2 linked regions of the Medicago truncatula genome follow. The protein of the gene in region 1 interacts with the protein of each later gene in a pairwise test. Links are inferred from orthologs where the notes say so. Each region holds a gene or a part of one and is shown on either strand. Other genes may lie near its edges.

Evidence for each region. The genes of interacting proteins can lie anywhere in the genome.
Region 2: the proteins of F-box protein MAX2 (region 1) and mitochondrial import inner membrane translocase subunit TIM17-2 interact in binary tests that used the Arabidopsis thaliana proteins (3 or more experiments, as listed by UniProt). The link is inferred for Medicago truncatula from reciprocal best matches to the Arabidopsis thaliana genes MAX2 and TIM17-2.

The regions. Positions count from the first base shown.
Region 1 is NC_053045.1:38,925,421-38,934,553, reverse strand, and holds F-box protein MAX2, read right to left. Parts: upstream 3,347-9,133; 5' UTR 3,120-3,346; coding exon 984-3,119; 3' UTR 726-983; downstream 1-725. UniProt on the Arabidopsis thaliana protein: Component of SCF(ASK-cullin-F-box) E3 ubiquitin ligase complexes, which may mediate the ubiquitination and subsequent proteasomal degradation of target proteins. Promotes the senescence. Is necessary for responses to strigolactones and karrikins.
Region 2 is NC_053047.1:41,353,821-41,360,620, reverse strand, and holds mitochondrial import inner membrane translocase subunit TIM17-2, read right to left. Parts: upstream 1,985-6,800; 5' UTR 1,853-1,984; coding exon 1,220-1,852; 3' UTR 913-1,219; downstream 1-912. UniProt on the Arabidopsis thaliana protein: Essential component of the TIM17:23 complex, a complex that mediates the translocation of transit peptide-containing proteins across the mitochondrial inner membrane. Links the inner and outer membranes.

The sequences.
Region 1 (9,133 bases):
TTTTTTTATCCATCTCTTTAATCACACAAAATATGGTTGACCTTTCATTTAATGGTTGAAAATTTTGAAAGAAGTAATTCATGACAGAATATTCAATATACTGAACAGTCGAATCCTACTGGCTTCCATTCTTTCAAACACATGCTTAATTTTAACCTATGAAGCTCGGTTGTACCTAAAATAGGTGTTCGGATCCTTTCCTTCACATTACACAGGAGGGATGAGAGAGAATAGAGAATTGAATGCTAAAAAAGCGATAAAAGAAGAGAGATAGAGAGGATGGAGAGAGTGAAGGAGAGGATCCGGCTCTCTAAAATAGTGATGCTCGGTGCTGGTACATGTATGGAACTAAACACATATATCCATTTTATCAGTAAGAATTCCAAAATATGTTGGGGTACATATTATAATTTAATCAACTGTGATAGAAATTCAGACAGTAATTTTTTGTTGTTTTTTACACTAAACGGACCTACCTTGGGTTTTAAAAAAATTCTGTATTTTCACATGCATAGCTATGCATCAGATTCTAACCTAAGATATAAGTTTAAATACAAAGAGCTCTTGCTAGAAGACTCAAAAAACAAATCGTATATAAGTTTCTCATAATAATCTACTTGTCAAAAAAAGTTTCTCATAATAATTTCAACTTTTTTTACCTTATAATTTAAGTTCTTTTTTTTTTTTTTGGTTACCTTGATAATTTAAGTTCTTGTGAGAGAAGATGCATGTAATCTCTCGCGCATATTTATTCCACGAAAATAACAAAATAGCCGAGGGTAGAATGGTTACATTTGAGACTCAAACAAAAATCCAACTGGAGTCCCACGATTTTACGGTGTCAAAAGAGGAAAGTGACAAATAATCTACCAAAGCCGTAATTGATGTTAATAATTGGCAATAACAATTAACAAGCCCTATAGCCTTAAGAACTATCCTCTTTTTTCTCTTGTTTATTGCATCCTAGCAAACATTACACTTGATCAGTCACATATTTGACGCCTATTCAACGCATCTTCAAAGCGAATGCATGATCCTACCCTCATCTCTGTACTCATGTCATTCTCTGGTGCTGGATAGTAATCCTCTCTCAGCTGAACATCTCTCAGATTTGGTATTTTGAGGAAGTAGTTCATGAAGTGTTCATGAGTTGTTCCATGAATGAAAAGCTTCCTCAAAGTATAGCATTCTTGCAACAGGCCAGCAGCTGGAAGAGACAGACTCCTCTGGTTCACATCCTCATCTTGTGGTGGCCAGTAATGAAGTTCATTTAGACTCAAGCTACCGATCCCATTAAGGAAGAACCTCTCCCACCAACTCAAATCCAATTGGCCGGAAGGCGCTGTGTATACATAACCTTTTGTATCGCCACAATCCAGCTGCATCTTTGACAACTGAGGATAACAAGCTAGAATGCTCAAACCAAATTCGCGCACTGCCGGTTTGGGCTGTCCTCTGCAATCTCCTTCGACTTTTATACGAATCTCTTCTAGATTGGGGCAATCCTCCAACCCTGCTACTGGCAACTGAGTCAAAAGTTCACCAACCTTTATCCAAAGAGAAAGATACTCCAACCTATCCCAGCTATAGCCATAGTATCCATTGCCGTTACCATTGCCATTGCTTTGCACAAACAAATCATCAGCCTCCAATCCATACTCACACCTTTGCCTCTTCCTCATGCTTGTGTCTTCTCCACATTCCTCACCTCCAAAGCAATCCATTAACTCTGAACCGTTCAGTTCATCCAAAGTGTTCAGATCAAAGTTGAACAAACCTTGTCCGAAGTTATCACTTTCTTTCCATATACAATCCAAGTGAAGCCGCTCAATCCGGTCCCGAATAGGCTCCAAAGCTCTAAGAGTAGCAGCCGCATCCAGGTTGACACATGAAGCAACCTTAACATCAATCAAAGTCCTTCGAAGCAAACACGCCATAGTCCTCAACCCTTTTTCAGTAACAAGCTTACAACCCTGAATCTCAAATCTCACCAACCGTGAACACCCTCTCCCAATCTCAATCAACCCCATATCATCAAGATCACCACACGTGTTAACAGACAACGATTGAAGCCCATGGCAAAGCGCAATTCCGTCAAGCCGTGACCCAATTGCCAAACAAATCCCCTGAAACTGACCCAACTTCACAACCTTCAAATTAGGACATTTAGAACTCAACATCTCCAAAGCAAAACTAGTCTCGGTGACATTTTTACAAACATCTAGCACCAATTCTTCCAGAAGAGGCAACCCAGTGAACAACGCTACAAGCGTGGCACGACTCACCCTAGCATCCTCTACACCTTCTTCCTCTCTCCGATTCGAAAACGACGACGTATCAGCCATGTGAAGAAGTTTCAGCTTAGGACAATTAGAAGCGACGGCCAATAAAGTTTCGTCACCGACAAAACCGATGTATCTCGGATCAAAAGTGCATGCAACAAGAAAGTGTTCCAGATTAGGGCAAGATGAAGTGATGGATTCGATTTGGTTAGACTTGAACCCCTCCGTGAACGACGTCGTTAAGAGATTCAAACGACGGAGTGAGGCGGCTGTGGTAGTATTCTCCGCCAAAACCGGTGGAAGATCCTCCGGCCAGTGATAGAACGATGAAAGATCAAGTGAAGTAATCGATCGGCACCGTGAGAACAAGGCGTCGAAGTCTGACCCCGGTTGCAACCCCTGCGGCCGTTGATGCCACCGAACAAGCCGAACATCACGAAGCTCCGGCCAGTGGTTGAAGAGAAGAAGGTGAAGCGTGTGCGGGTCACGCACGTAGACAGTGAGTGAAGTCACGCGCGGGAAAGTATTTCGTAACCGTTGAGCTAGAAGCGGAGAATCATTACCAGCAGGTGAACAGAACAGCGCGTGACCCCACGGCGAGAGAAGTGATACATCGAGATGAGTAACGTTCGTGAAGGAAGTTGGAATTCTGTATAAGTCACGCGCGTTTCCTCGGAGCGTGAGGGATAATCGCGTTTTTCTCTCTAACTTGAAGAAGCTATGACATACTAAGGAGAGTGAGTTTCGAGTTCGTGTGTCAGTTATTCCGGTGAAGACTTTCGATAAAATCTCCTCCGGTAGGTGGCTGACGGTGGTTGCTGAGTTGTTTCCTACCATCACCGGTAAGAAATTCTCACGAAAATAACTACTTTCTTCTTTTTAGGAATATGTATGAAGGAAATTTATAGAGGTAAGGTGATTGGGGTATTGAGTATCAATCAATGAAATCTAGTGAGTGATATTTGTGGCAGTTTCTGAGATGTTATAAAGAGTAATGTTTTTATTACATTTTTATTTTATTTTATTGTATTGTGTATGGTAGAGGATGATATCATATGCTTGATTGATAATGGGTATTGATGGGTATGGTATGGCTATTATTAGTCATAAGATTGAAAACACTTTGTTGGTTGGGTGATGCATAGCCACGTGAATACGATGTATGTAGCTCACTAAATTTTAAAGGGTTTTACTAACCATGTCTCTTTGAGTATTTGTTAAAAAATTTATAAATAGAAATTTTATCTTAAAAATATAATTTTTTTTTATTAAATAACAATTGTATAAATTTTTAAGGAAATTTATATATTTTGATTGCTTAAACAATATTTACAAGACATTTTTTAATATTCTCTTATTTTAAAATCGTGTGATCTGGATCCGCTATCTTTAAAAGATGTACGTCTTTTCCTCATCTTATTTATCATTTTTGTTTATTTTTTCTTATCATACATTAAAGTCATGATGATTTTTTCACCATTAAGTTTGTGTTTGATATTACACCGATAACTTTTGTAAAATCACAGTTTGACATATCCACGATGATATCAAACATCGATTAAGAGTAACTAAGATCCAAAATTGTGTGTGTGAGAGATGGTTTGAAAATGAGGGATGGTTTGGATTTCTGTAAAAGGCAACAAGCCAGCAGTGGGAAATGGGGTAATGGTACAAAATGAAATCTGCATGTACATTATTATTAAGATTTAAGATAAGGGAAAAAAGAATAGGGACAAACAATTGGGGGACCACAAACAGGACCCAGTTAATCCCTTATGAGATAAAGAAAGAGGGTTAAATCACTCAGAGTCACATTGTTGGATTGAATTTTGTTTACTTCTTTTCTTGTTTCGTATCTTGTTCATTTTTTCTTTCTTTCTATCTACTTACTTTGTCAAGCTCTGTCTTTTCCATTTTGATTGGATTTGGATAGGAACACAAAACACAATAGTGCAACATACACTTGGCGTTAATATCTCTATTGGATATTGATGATATTTTTAAAACTGGCGTTGAAATAATAATAATGGAGTATATGTATAATAATATAATATGTGAGTCAGTGAGTGACCGACGAGGGACCCAACGTTAACCTTCCTTTCGAGCTTCCAATCTAATTTAGTCCAATCAATCCACGTTAAATAACAAAGTTTACATTGACACATGAGATTCAATACTATATAAGTTTTTTCTTTTTTTATTTCTAAAATTTATCTCTCTTTCACAAAAGACCAACAAATGATATTAATAAATAGAGTAGTGATATTTGAACAACTATTTCATACAATTTTTTGTGATAATTTTTTTTCTCTCTTTTTATTGGTTAAAAACTATGGAGAGAAAAAGAAAGAGAGAAAATAAGAGGATAATGTGAGTATGAAAGAAAAAGTTGTCATAAAGTGGTTGTACAAATATCATTTCTCTAATAAATACTTATTATCCAAGATACAAAGTGTATCATTCATGGATTCTTAAGTTTTTATATTTGCTCTAGCCCATAGTACAAAACTGATTTGTGAGATGATGGTTATCCATATTTAGAAACACTTGTTTATGTCATTTTTCATCAAATATGATAGTATTTAACACAGCCTATCGCATCCAATACTATTAGACTTGATGCATAGATATAAATGGTAGGTGGTTCGATCAAGACAGATCTTGGAAAAGGTTTTAATATCACCTTAGATTTTTATACTAGAGATAATTCATTCTCCTAAAATCAATTTGTGAGGTAAAATTCGCTTTCACTTATAAACAATTGTTCATGTTATCTCTCATCCAACGACTCTTTAACATGAATAAAACAATTACAACTCACTAAATATACAATCAAAATCAAACCTCAAGAAAAAACAAACAAATACCATCCCATACAAAACAAAATCCTCAAAAGAGTACATAAGTTATTATTGATGATGTGTGAGTTAGGATGGGGGATGGGGGATGAGGGGCAAGCGTGAAGTTGGAGGAGGGGGGCTGTTTGCGTGGGAAGAAGAGTTGGTGGAGGAATTTAAATTATTATTTCACGGTGTGACTTTGCAGGTTGATAAAGTTGATAGGTGGCTATGGAATTTGGAAACATCTCATGTCTATTTCGTCCGTAGTGCTTATAATTTGCTCACTTTTCAACCTCCGTTTGTTTCTATGGTGGCGGTGTCCTCTCTTTGGAATAAAGATGTCCCTTTGAAGGTCGTTTTGTTTGCTTGGCGTATGTTTCGTGATAGGTTGCCAACTAAGGATAACCTTCTTCGTTGTGGAGTGATTCCTAATGATTCCTGGATGTGTGTTGCTGGCTGTGGGTCCGAAGAGACTTCAGCACATTTATTTTTACATTGTAATATATTTGGTTCGATTTGGCACTATATCTCCAGGTGGTTGGGTTTGTCGACGGTAATTCCCTTCACTGTTGATGGCGGTGTCACAAAGGCACGACGATCAATTTTACAGGTTCTTTGGTATGCAACTACGTGGAAAATTTGGAAAGAAAGAAATAACATGCTCTTTAATGGCAAAGAGTGCTCAATTATGCAGGTGGTTGATAAAATTAAGTCGCTGACTTTCATGTGGCTGAAGGCGAAATTTCCTTCTCTTCCCTTCAACTATCATGGCTGGTGGCTTAGTCATTTCACTATTTTTGGCATAGGCTAATAGTTATTTGCTTTCTTTAGTCACTGTTTTGGTTTTCCCTTGTAAATATTTGTTTTGACTTTGGTGTCTTTTCCTTGGCATATCTTATGTTAGGGAGGACCTTTTGATGTGGTAATATATTTCATTGTAGCCTCTTAAAAAAAAAAACCTGAAGCCAATGATCACACACATAAAAGGATATCTCCATTTTCGATGAAATTCAAACGTGAATTCTTTGACTTGGATTTTGAACCACCCTTAAGAACACGATTTAATAGTTGTTGAATTAGAACTATAGAAGTAATAAAAAATTATCAATTACTATTACCATGGAAATAAAAATGCAAATGAATCAATTAAAAGTTATAAAATAGAAATAAGATTTCATTTTTGGTTGAAAATACATAATATGATTTCATAAGTGGATCATCGATTGCCTAAAAGTGTCGCATCCTTTTTTGCTCTAGTTCATTCAAATTTAGTTGAAACCGCAAGAACCCTTTTACTTCATCACAATGTTCCTTTTCAATTGCCTAAAAATGTTGCGTCATTTTTTGCTCTAGTTCATTCAGATATTTAGTTGAAACTGCAAAATCCTTCTACTTCATCACTGTTCCTTTTTGTTTGTTGGATGAAGATTGCTCCTACTTATAAACATATATTTAAGTCATATTTTATTTGATGTGAGACTCATTAACAACAATCATTGCATCACAAAGGTTCATGGTCTTATACAAGTTAGCATCCACCCCTCAATAATATAATTTTATGTCACCAAAGCATATTTAAGAACAAAACTAGTCTTTTTGAATAGCATCATATGGAATTTAGGGACATGTCTTAAGTTATATATAAAATTAAGTATGTGAATATTTAGTTTTTGTAAATTATAAGTTTGTGGTTTCCTAAAAAAAAATAAAAATTTGCGGCTGAATTAAGCATCGTTGATGGAAACATACCATCGAGTTGTTTTGTCTAGTTTTGAATGTAGCAGTTTGTAACCAAATATATGGTTGGTGTTGGTTGTTGAATGAATTTATTATATAACAAGGTAATAGCTTGGTTAACGTTGATATATGGGTGGGGTGGATTAAGGATTGGAAGCAACTTTATTTGCCACCCCTGGCCCTACAAGAAAACAGTGTTTAAAGTCGGCCAAAAACCCACTTTAACCAGGCAAAAACTGACGCTAACAATGAATTCACGTCGGATTAGTGTCGGTGTCGGGGGCAGGCAAAAAAATTAGAATCCATTTTTCAACATATATGATTTATTAATTCTAAAGTAAAATTTAGAAGTTAAGATCACATAAGTATTAGTTATAGAGTTAATTTTTTTTTTTGGTACAAGAGAGGGCCGAAGCCCAAAAGAGAAAATTAAACAATTACACGAACATTTCTAGGCATACAAGCACCAGAGATGTCATCAAAGAGGAGACTATTGAGCTCACTAGGAGGGGTCTCCAAAATAGTAAAATTCCATGAATCCATGGTAAGGCTGAAGTTAGCAAGCCAATCAACACTTCTGTTGCCTTCTCTCAAAGTGTTATAGAGTTAATTTTATACTTTGAAAGAATGAATCTTCGAGTTTACTTTTTATGAACTTATTCCATAAGATGTTTACTATCAATTTAAATTGACAAAAAATACTTATTAAATATTTTTTTAAAATTCAGAAAATGAGATCTCAGTCGATTTTTTTGAGAAAACAATCTCACAACTTTTTCTTGTTGAGAAAAAAAATATATCTATCAATTTAAATTGAGAAAACAAATATCACAAATTTAAAAATCTCACAATTTAAAAATCCCATAATAAGAATCTTGTGTTGTAATATTAAAACCTCCACTCCTATAAAATGACAGGTCTTGAATCCGAGAGAATCCGGGTTCGAGCCTCACTAGTGCCTTTGAAGGGAGGTAAATGTAAATACCTTTGTAAGTGCTCTTTGAGCTCGAAGGTCTTCCCTACCTTAGACTGGGGCACCATCCCCTCACCCTAAAATTTTGTAACCCAAAAAAAAAAAAAAACCTCCACCGCTATTTATGTTGAGCTTTGAGGTCTCTTTAATATGGTCTTAAAACCTTTTGGGATCAGGGTATTATTTCCCTTCTTGTGGAATGTGATTCTTGGGTCTTTATACAAATTGTTCAACTCACTTCATCTCACACCGCGGCTCTTCAAATCCATATATTCGACATTCTTTTTCTTGTCTATCTTATGGATTGAAAGGTCTCATTGAAGCATATTTATAGGGAGCTAACTCTTGCGTTGATTTTCTTGCTAACTTGGGTCACCGTGGTTCTTTCTAATGGAGGACCTCTTCAATCTTTTGTCCTTCTTTGGCTCTTAAGCTTCGTTTTGATTGAGTGAGATGTCGAGTCCCTAGGTTAGTTCCTTAGGGGGTCTTTGTTTCAAGTTTACAAAATATAATCATGGGAATAATTTTCTTGTGAATATAAGGATGAGAACTGTATTTTCAGGTTTACTGAGAAAATGTGTTTGGTTAGTATTTAAAGTATTCATGGGAATGACTGATAAAGCGATAGTTCTGGATAGTAATTAATGATTTTATTCCCAGCTTCATGAAAACTTTATTCCTCCCAATTTTCTTAGGAACAAGACAACATTTTCAAGAAACTTCTATTCCCAGGAAGGAATAATTATAAAAATTAAAAACAAACATAGGAATATTTCTTTCCACTATCATATTCTCAGGAATCTCCAAATATAACTTGAAACAAACATCATCTTTTATAATTTTCTTCTATCATAAAAAAAAGATATACTATAAAAAATGTAATAAATATATCTAATAATGTGAAAAATTATATATATTTTTATAACAAAGAGGGCTGAAGCCCGAAATTTTTTTTATATTTAGGGACAAGCAAAATTGCAAAAACAATATTATGATTATGGACGAAGTAATTAATATTAAATTAGAGGTTAAAGATATTTTCTTCCTTTGCTATATGAGCGAGTTCCAATTTATAAAATATTAGATTTTTTAAACATGAAATGCATTAAATATGAATTTTTATAAACAAAAAAAATTCAAGATAAAAGTAATGAAAGTCAGGATCTAGAAATCATTTTTCGTGAAGAAACAATTTTTAAACATGTTTGAAAAAAATTATTCAAAAATTTAAGAGCAATTAAACAAATTTAAATTTAATGAAGACTAAAATTGTGTGTTGAAATTTTTCATAGGAACGCAAA
Region 2 (6,800 bases), on another chromosome or scaffold:
GCATTCAGCAGTGCTTGTGTAATAAGCCGATACAGTAAAAAGCAAATATAATAATAGAACCTAAAACAAAACTTAATTTCAGAGTGCATCAATCAGAACATGTATAATTTTGTCTAAAAAATTTAGTTACTTTAATTGCATAGTATTATTGACTTCAAAACAAAGATTAACAAAGTAACTAAATTATGATACGACATATCAATCAACAATCACCACCAATTGAGGTTCATAAACAAACCCTAAAATTTTCAAATTTAAATTTAAATTTCAGAACATAACAAAAATCACTACCTCAAAAGTCAAAAACCATACCCAAATTCACTTGAACTCAATAATCTTTACCTCACTCTCAAAATCCAGTTAAAGGAAACATCAAATTTAAACATATTGTAATTAAACCACCGGTAATCTAATATACTTACACTAATTATAACCACCGGTAGCTATCATGTCACTAGTGCCACAAGAACAAAATATAGTTCTTGACAAAAGACATGGCCGGCCATGAAATTAGTGCTCAAAATAAGGCAGAGGAGCACCAAACCTCTCAAGAACCCTCACCTCACTGATCACCACAAATTCATTCAAGTAACAAATATCCCCCAACCCAACACAACAAAGCCACTGCTAAAAAAAAAAGAACCAAACAGAACCACAGAACCCCTACGGCCCCTCAAAAACCAGTTCACACCTCACTAAGTGAGTAGCCATTTGTGAAGGCAACAAAACACAGTGAAAATCTAGCTGAATAGAAACTCATTAGGGAGATTATAAGCTTAAAAGACAATAACCAAACCCTATTTCACACGTACTCAAAATAAGGCAGAGAAGGCGAATCAACCCTCTCAAAAACCTTCACCTCACTAATCAACACAAATTTGTTGGTAACAAACAATTGAAATTCAAGCAATCACACACCAAACAAAGAACATTCATTTAAACTCAACATAATTAAACAACTAATAATCTACTGTACTTACATTAATCATAACAACATTAAAAAAATATCATTAACATTATAATAAAAGTCTACCGCTAAACTTATTACATATGATTATCAATTTCAAAACAGCCATAAACCAGATAACTCTTATAAATACTTCATTAGTATCATAGCTAATAAGCAACCAACATCAATCAAGGTTCAAACCAAACCCTAATTTTCTCAAATTTAAATTTTCAAAACACAAATTCACTACCTCAAAACTCTAATTCATAATCACTTATACTCAAAATTCGGCACAGGAGGCGCATCAAAACTCTCCAAAACCTTCACCTCACTTCCACCACCACCAATCTTCTCTTCCTCCTTCTGTCCAAAAATTCCACCAAATCCACCAAACCACGGCTTCCCACCTTTGTTTTCCTCCGAATTTGCATTTGAATTCGAATTCTCTGGCGGCATATCCTCGATCATCATCGGCAAAGGCTGTTGAGCACTCAAAAACTTATTCAAAGCAATACCAGCCCCCTCAATCAACGCTAAAAGCACACCACCAAATGCCGCTGATCGCGCAGAAGCAGCTAAACCCTGACGCATAGCAAGAAAACCACCAGTAGCAGCACCAGCAACAATAGAATTCCACGGATCTTCCTTTTGTCTCACGTAAACCATAGTACAATCAAAAGTTGAGAATAAACCACCCCAAACAGCGAAACTACCACCGATTCGAGGTGCGTTGAGACGAACAGCTTGTGTTGCGCCGGTGAAACGTGCTCCTTTGGGGGAATTGTAGAGACCTTTGAGAAAGTGGAAGGCGGAGCCACCGACGGCACCCATACCAAACGCGCCGCCGATGTCGTCGAGGATGCGATCGGGACAAGGCTCGCGTGAGGTTTCAGGTGTTCCCATGTTTTGATTGATTTGATCGAAAAGTGAATTTGGGTATTAGGGTTTTGGTGCGTGAGAGGAGAAAGAGAGAGAACAAAAGAATGAAGTAAAGAGGGTCGAAGTTCTCTTTTTATACGCCGACTAATAATGTTAAAATTATTTTAGATTTTAGATATCAATCTTTTTTATCAAGCAATGGGAAATTTTGTTTTTTTTTTAGAATCAACGGGAAATGTTTTAGATATTTTGTTTTTGCATACCTATTGGAAAAAAAAAAAATATATATATATATATATATGATTATTAATTCTTGGTTTAAATGTGTCCATTGATCCAAGCACTTTTTTTGTTTGGCATTGGTCCCTGCACTTTGTAAAAATATTGGTATTGGTCCCTCTGTTAACTTTCTGTTAAAAAAAAAAAACACAAAATCAACGGAATGCCACCTGGCCCAATCATTTCACGCCACGTGGCACCAATATCAATATTTTTACAAAGTGCACTGACCAATTCCAAACAAAAAAAAGTGTAGGGACCAATGCCAAAATCTGATGAAAGTGTAAGGACTAAAGGCATATTTAAACCTTAATTCTTTCTTTCCATGAGATTCTTGCACGATTTATTTTTTAAAAATGTGTTTTTGTTCGAATTTTATAATCATAAGGTGTTTTGATTTATGGAATCCTAACAATGTAAAAATTGAAGGCAGGCATGCAACATGACTTATGCTTGCCCAAATTTCTATAACAATCGTTTGAAATATATAAACCGAAATTTTTTCACAATGTGTTGAAAGTATGATTTTAAACATAGTTTTTGGGCCCATTTTTATTTTTATGATCGGGAAAACTAGCTTTTAAAAGGCGGGGGAACACTTGGATTATGGAATCTGAAACCTTCGAATATAAAGGTTTGCCAAAAACCTAACAAAATGTCACCACCTTTATCACTAAACACTCCTCACATCTCAAAAAAAAACACACCATTTTGGGCGAAAGTGTGATTTGGAGTAGCAATTTGGTCATCAAGGGGCGTCAACAACATCATTTTCGTTTGAATGCATAGATAATGTTCCTATAAGACCTTCCTCGTTCGATTTCTAGGCGCTTTCCTCTTGATCACGTCAACAATATGGTTTGACTTATATAATCTGAAACACACCATTGCAGACATTGTCCAGTTTGTTACCATGATTTTGCATTGTTTTTAGTAATGGACGCTCTCATTAATATCTCATAGGCTCTTACATTGGCTCCTGACATTGAAACTCCTATTATGTTGCTAATTATTTCACCTGAAAATTTGGATGATACCGTCAATGTCAAAGTCGAGGATCCCCCACCTCTAGTCGATATTCCTTCTGAGGATGCGAAAGTGAAGGGTGCTCCTCCACCTGGTGTGCCTCCAGCTGATACTCATCCAATTGTTGGACCTATTGTTGTTTCTATTGATCATCAGGAAAATTTTACCACTAAAGTAAAGTTTGCTACACATAACGATTTGTTGAGTGGATTCGAAAATAAGTAGGGAGGCTAGGATTTTCAACTGTTATTAAAAAGTCAAATAAGGGTGGAAATGGCATAAATGTATTTGTTACGTTATATGTGAAAAGGGAGGTTCGTATACTGAGTACAAGAAGTTGTGCATGTGTAAGATATATGGGAAATACAACGAAAAACGTAGTTGAATATGCGCACAGTCAGTTGAAAAAGTATTTGACTAGTAGTATGGGATGTTTGTGTATGAATTGGTCATTCGTTCACAACATGTTAGAATCGCAACATACTCAAATACATGTGTTGTTCTATATGAGTATGATCATGCTTAAAACAGTTTCACGGGAAAGTTGTCGTGGTCTAAGTTGATTGGAAACATATCAAAGAATGTTTTGCATTATATATCGCAAACAAATCTGATCGAGCAGTTGAGTGTGGTACAGATAAATCCAAACATGGTTGCTTAGTTTTCATCACATGTGAATTGTCGTGTGCATGCACCACTGCTAAAAATACAAAGAACACCTGTAACGCCCTAGTTGTTTATTTAATTAATTTGAATTATGTGGAGTATATGTATTTTTATATATGATGTTTGGTAATTTATGCGGAGTATATATATATATATATATATATTTATATATATATATGTGATTTTTGGGTGTCTTATGTGGTGTATTATTTTATTATATAGTTTATTTAATAATAATTAATATAAGTATGAAATAATAATTATTTTGGAGTTTGGGGAGTTATTTAATAGTTATTAAAGTTAATGGGGAGTTAAATGAAAATATAGGGAGTTAAGTAATGGGAAGTTAGGAAAAGAAAGAGGAGAAGCAGTTGTACGTAAGAACTGACAAGTTGGGAGAAAAAGGGGAGAAGACCAAGTTAGAGCCAAGAGTGAATTTGCTGCACATTTCTTCTTCAATTTCTAAGGTAAGGGTGAGGTTTACTTCAATAGTGTAGATTTTAAAGTCTGATTTGAGTTTAACAGGTTTTTGGATTGAAATTGAGGAATTGGGTTTTAATTGAATTTATGGTTTTTGGGGTAGATATTGCTATTCTGATGTTAGAATTTGGTTTTGGTTGCATAGAAACATTCATTTCTCATCTGTAAACTGATTTGGGGAGTGATTGGAAGGAAAATGGGATTTTTGGGAAAAACCAGTTTTCTGCCCGTACAGAAGTTCATCGCTCGCCTCGCGAGTAGCTGTGCTCGCCATGGCGAGTGAGCAACTTCATAGCTCGCCTCGCGAGCAGTCCAACTCGCCATGGCGAGTAGCCCATAATAAAACTTGATTTTTGAAAAGTTGTTATAAGATGTTTTGGGGATGGTTTAAGGTACCTAGATGATTTTTATGATGAATGGTGAAAGTTTTAGGTTAAAAAGATGAATAGGGAACTTAGAATTTGGATTTGAGTGAGAAAATGGCATTTTTCCCGAGAGCTCCTGATTTTCACTCGCCTAGAGTTCGCCTTGAACTCGCCACGGCGAGCTACTGTTTTTGTGAACTCGCCATGGCGAGCAGATGTGCTCGCAAGGCGAGTTGCACTGTTTATGAGTGTTGAATTGCTTGCATGATTAGTAGTGGTTGGTGTTGTTGTATTTGAGCATGGTTGTATATAATTATACATTATTTTGGTTGATTGGATTGTTGGATTGATGAATACTGATGATGGTTGAAATGTATGTTATTTATTGAATCATACATATTATTATAGTAGAGTCACATGGAGTTGCATTGCATGGTCAGTTGTATGTAGATATACACAAGTAGGTCCATTACATATGCATAAAACAGCGGTGAGGGCTTCGGTCCTGGAGTACTAGTTGCTCAACAGCGGTGAGGGCTTCGGTCCTGATGAATGCTTTAACCATTCAAAAGCGGTGAGGGCTTCGGTCCTATTTGGTACCACATGCATATTGCATTTCATTAAGAAGTCTAAGATGGTGTCTTAGCAGTGGTCATGTCATTTGCATGAGTCTTGGTTGTTGATGTCGGTTATTTTCTGATGGATGATGTTGGTGTTGAATATGCATTTATATATATATATTCATTGTGATCATGGGTATTGTTGATGTTGTTGTTACTTGTGACTTATACATATATTTGTTTACAAGATAAAGTGTTGTTGGTTAGGGTGTTAGATTCAATTGATGATTTTAATATATATATTTATTGTTGTGAATCTCACCCCTTCTGCTTGAAAATGTTGCCCTTCCTATGGGTAACTTGCAGGTGATCCTGAGTAGTAGGTGGTGGCTCAAAGTCGTGTTTAGGGCTCTGATACGTGGGATGGGATTTATCATTTTTATTATTGTTGCTTTTCCTTTCCATGTATCAAATTTTGGAACTTATGGTGTGGAGCCTTTTGTTGTCTTTGAACTATGATGTTGAATTATGTTAAGGCCTTTAATGCCTTAGACTATTGTTGGATGTTCATGTGGTTATGGATTATGAAAACTATTCCGCTGCTATGTTTTCATAAATAATAAGTTGCTTGATTAAATAGTTTTATTTTCTATTTAAGAAATTTTGAAATGACGTGTAGCATGCCCGTTGTGGAACTACTCTGATGTATATTTGCTATTTAATTGCTTTTGGGTAACGGGGTGTTACAATTTGGTATCAGAGCCGGTTGGTCCGTCCGGCCAACTAGTAGAGTCGTGTTGAGCCACCTAGGATAGAGTGTCAACTTTAATATTGTTTTTTTTGTTGTTGTTCTGAGTTGTTGTTTGTCGTGTAGAATCTCGAGATGACTGGAAGTAGTGATGCTGCCCTTGTTGCTGCGCTTGAGGCTGTAGCTCAAGTTGTTCAACAGCAACCTAAGGTTGAGACTGGTAGTGATGGAACCAGGATGCTAGAGACTTTCTTGAGGAATCATCCACCAACATTCAAGGGTAGGTATGCTCCTGATGGTGCTCAGAAGTGGCTGAAGGAGATTGAAAGAATATTCCGAGTCATGCAGTGTTCTGAGACACAGAAGGTGCGGTTTGGGACGCACATGTTAGCTGAGGAGGCCGATGATTGGTGGATTAGTTTGTTGCCTGTTCTGGAGCAGGATGATGCTGTGGTAACCTGGGCCATGTTCAGGAAGGAGTTGCTGGGCAGGTATTTTCCAGAGGATGTCAGGGGTAAGAAAGAGATTGAATTTCTGGAGTTGAAACAGGGTGACATGTCTGTCACAGAGTATGCTGCAAAGTTTATGGAGCTTGCCACATTCTACCCTCATTACAGTGCGGAGACAGCTGAGTTCTCCAAGTGTATCAAGTTTGAGAATGGGTTGAGGGCTGACATCAAGAGGGCTATTGGGTATCAGCAGATCAGAGTCTTCTCTGAGTTGGTTAATAGGTGCAGAATCTATGAAGAAGACACCAAAGCTCATTACAAGATAATGAGTGAGAGGAGGGGTAAGGGACAGCAGAATCGTCCTAAGCCTTACAGTGCTCCTGCTGACAAAGGAAAGCA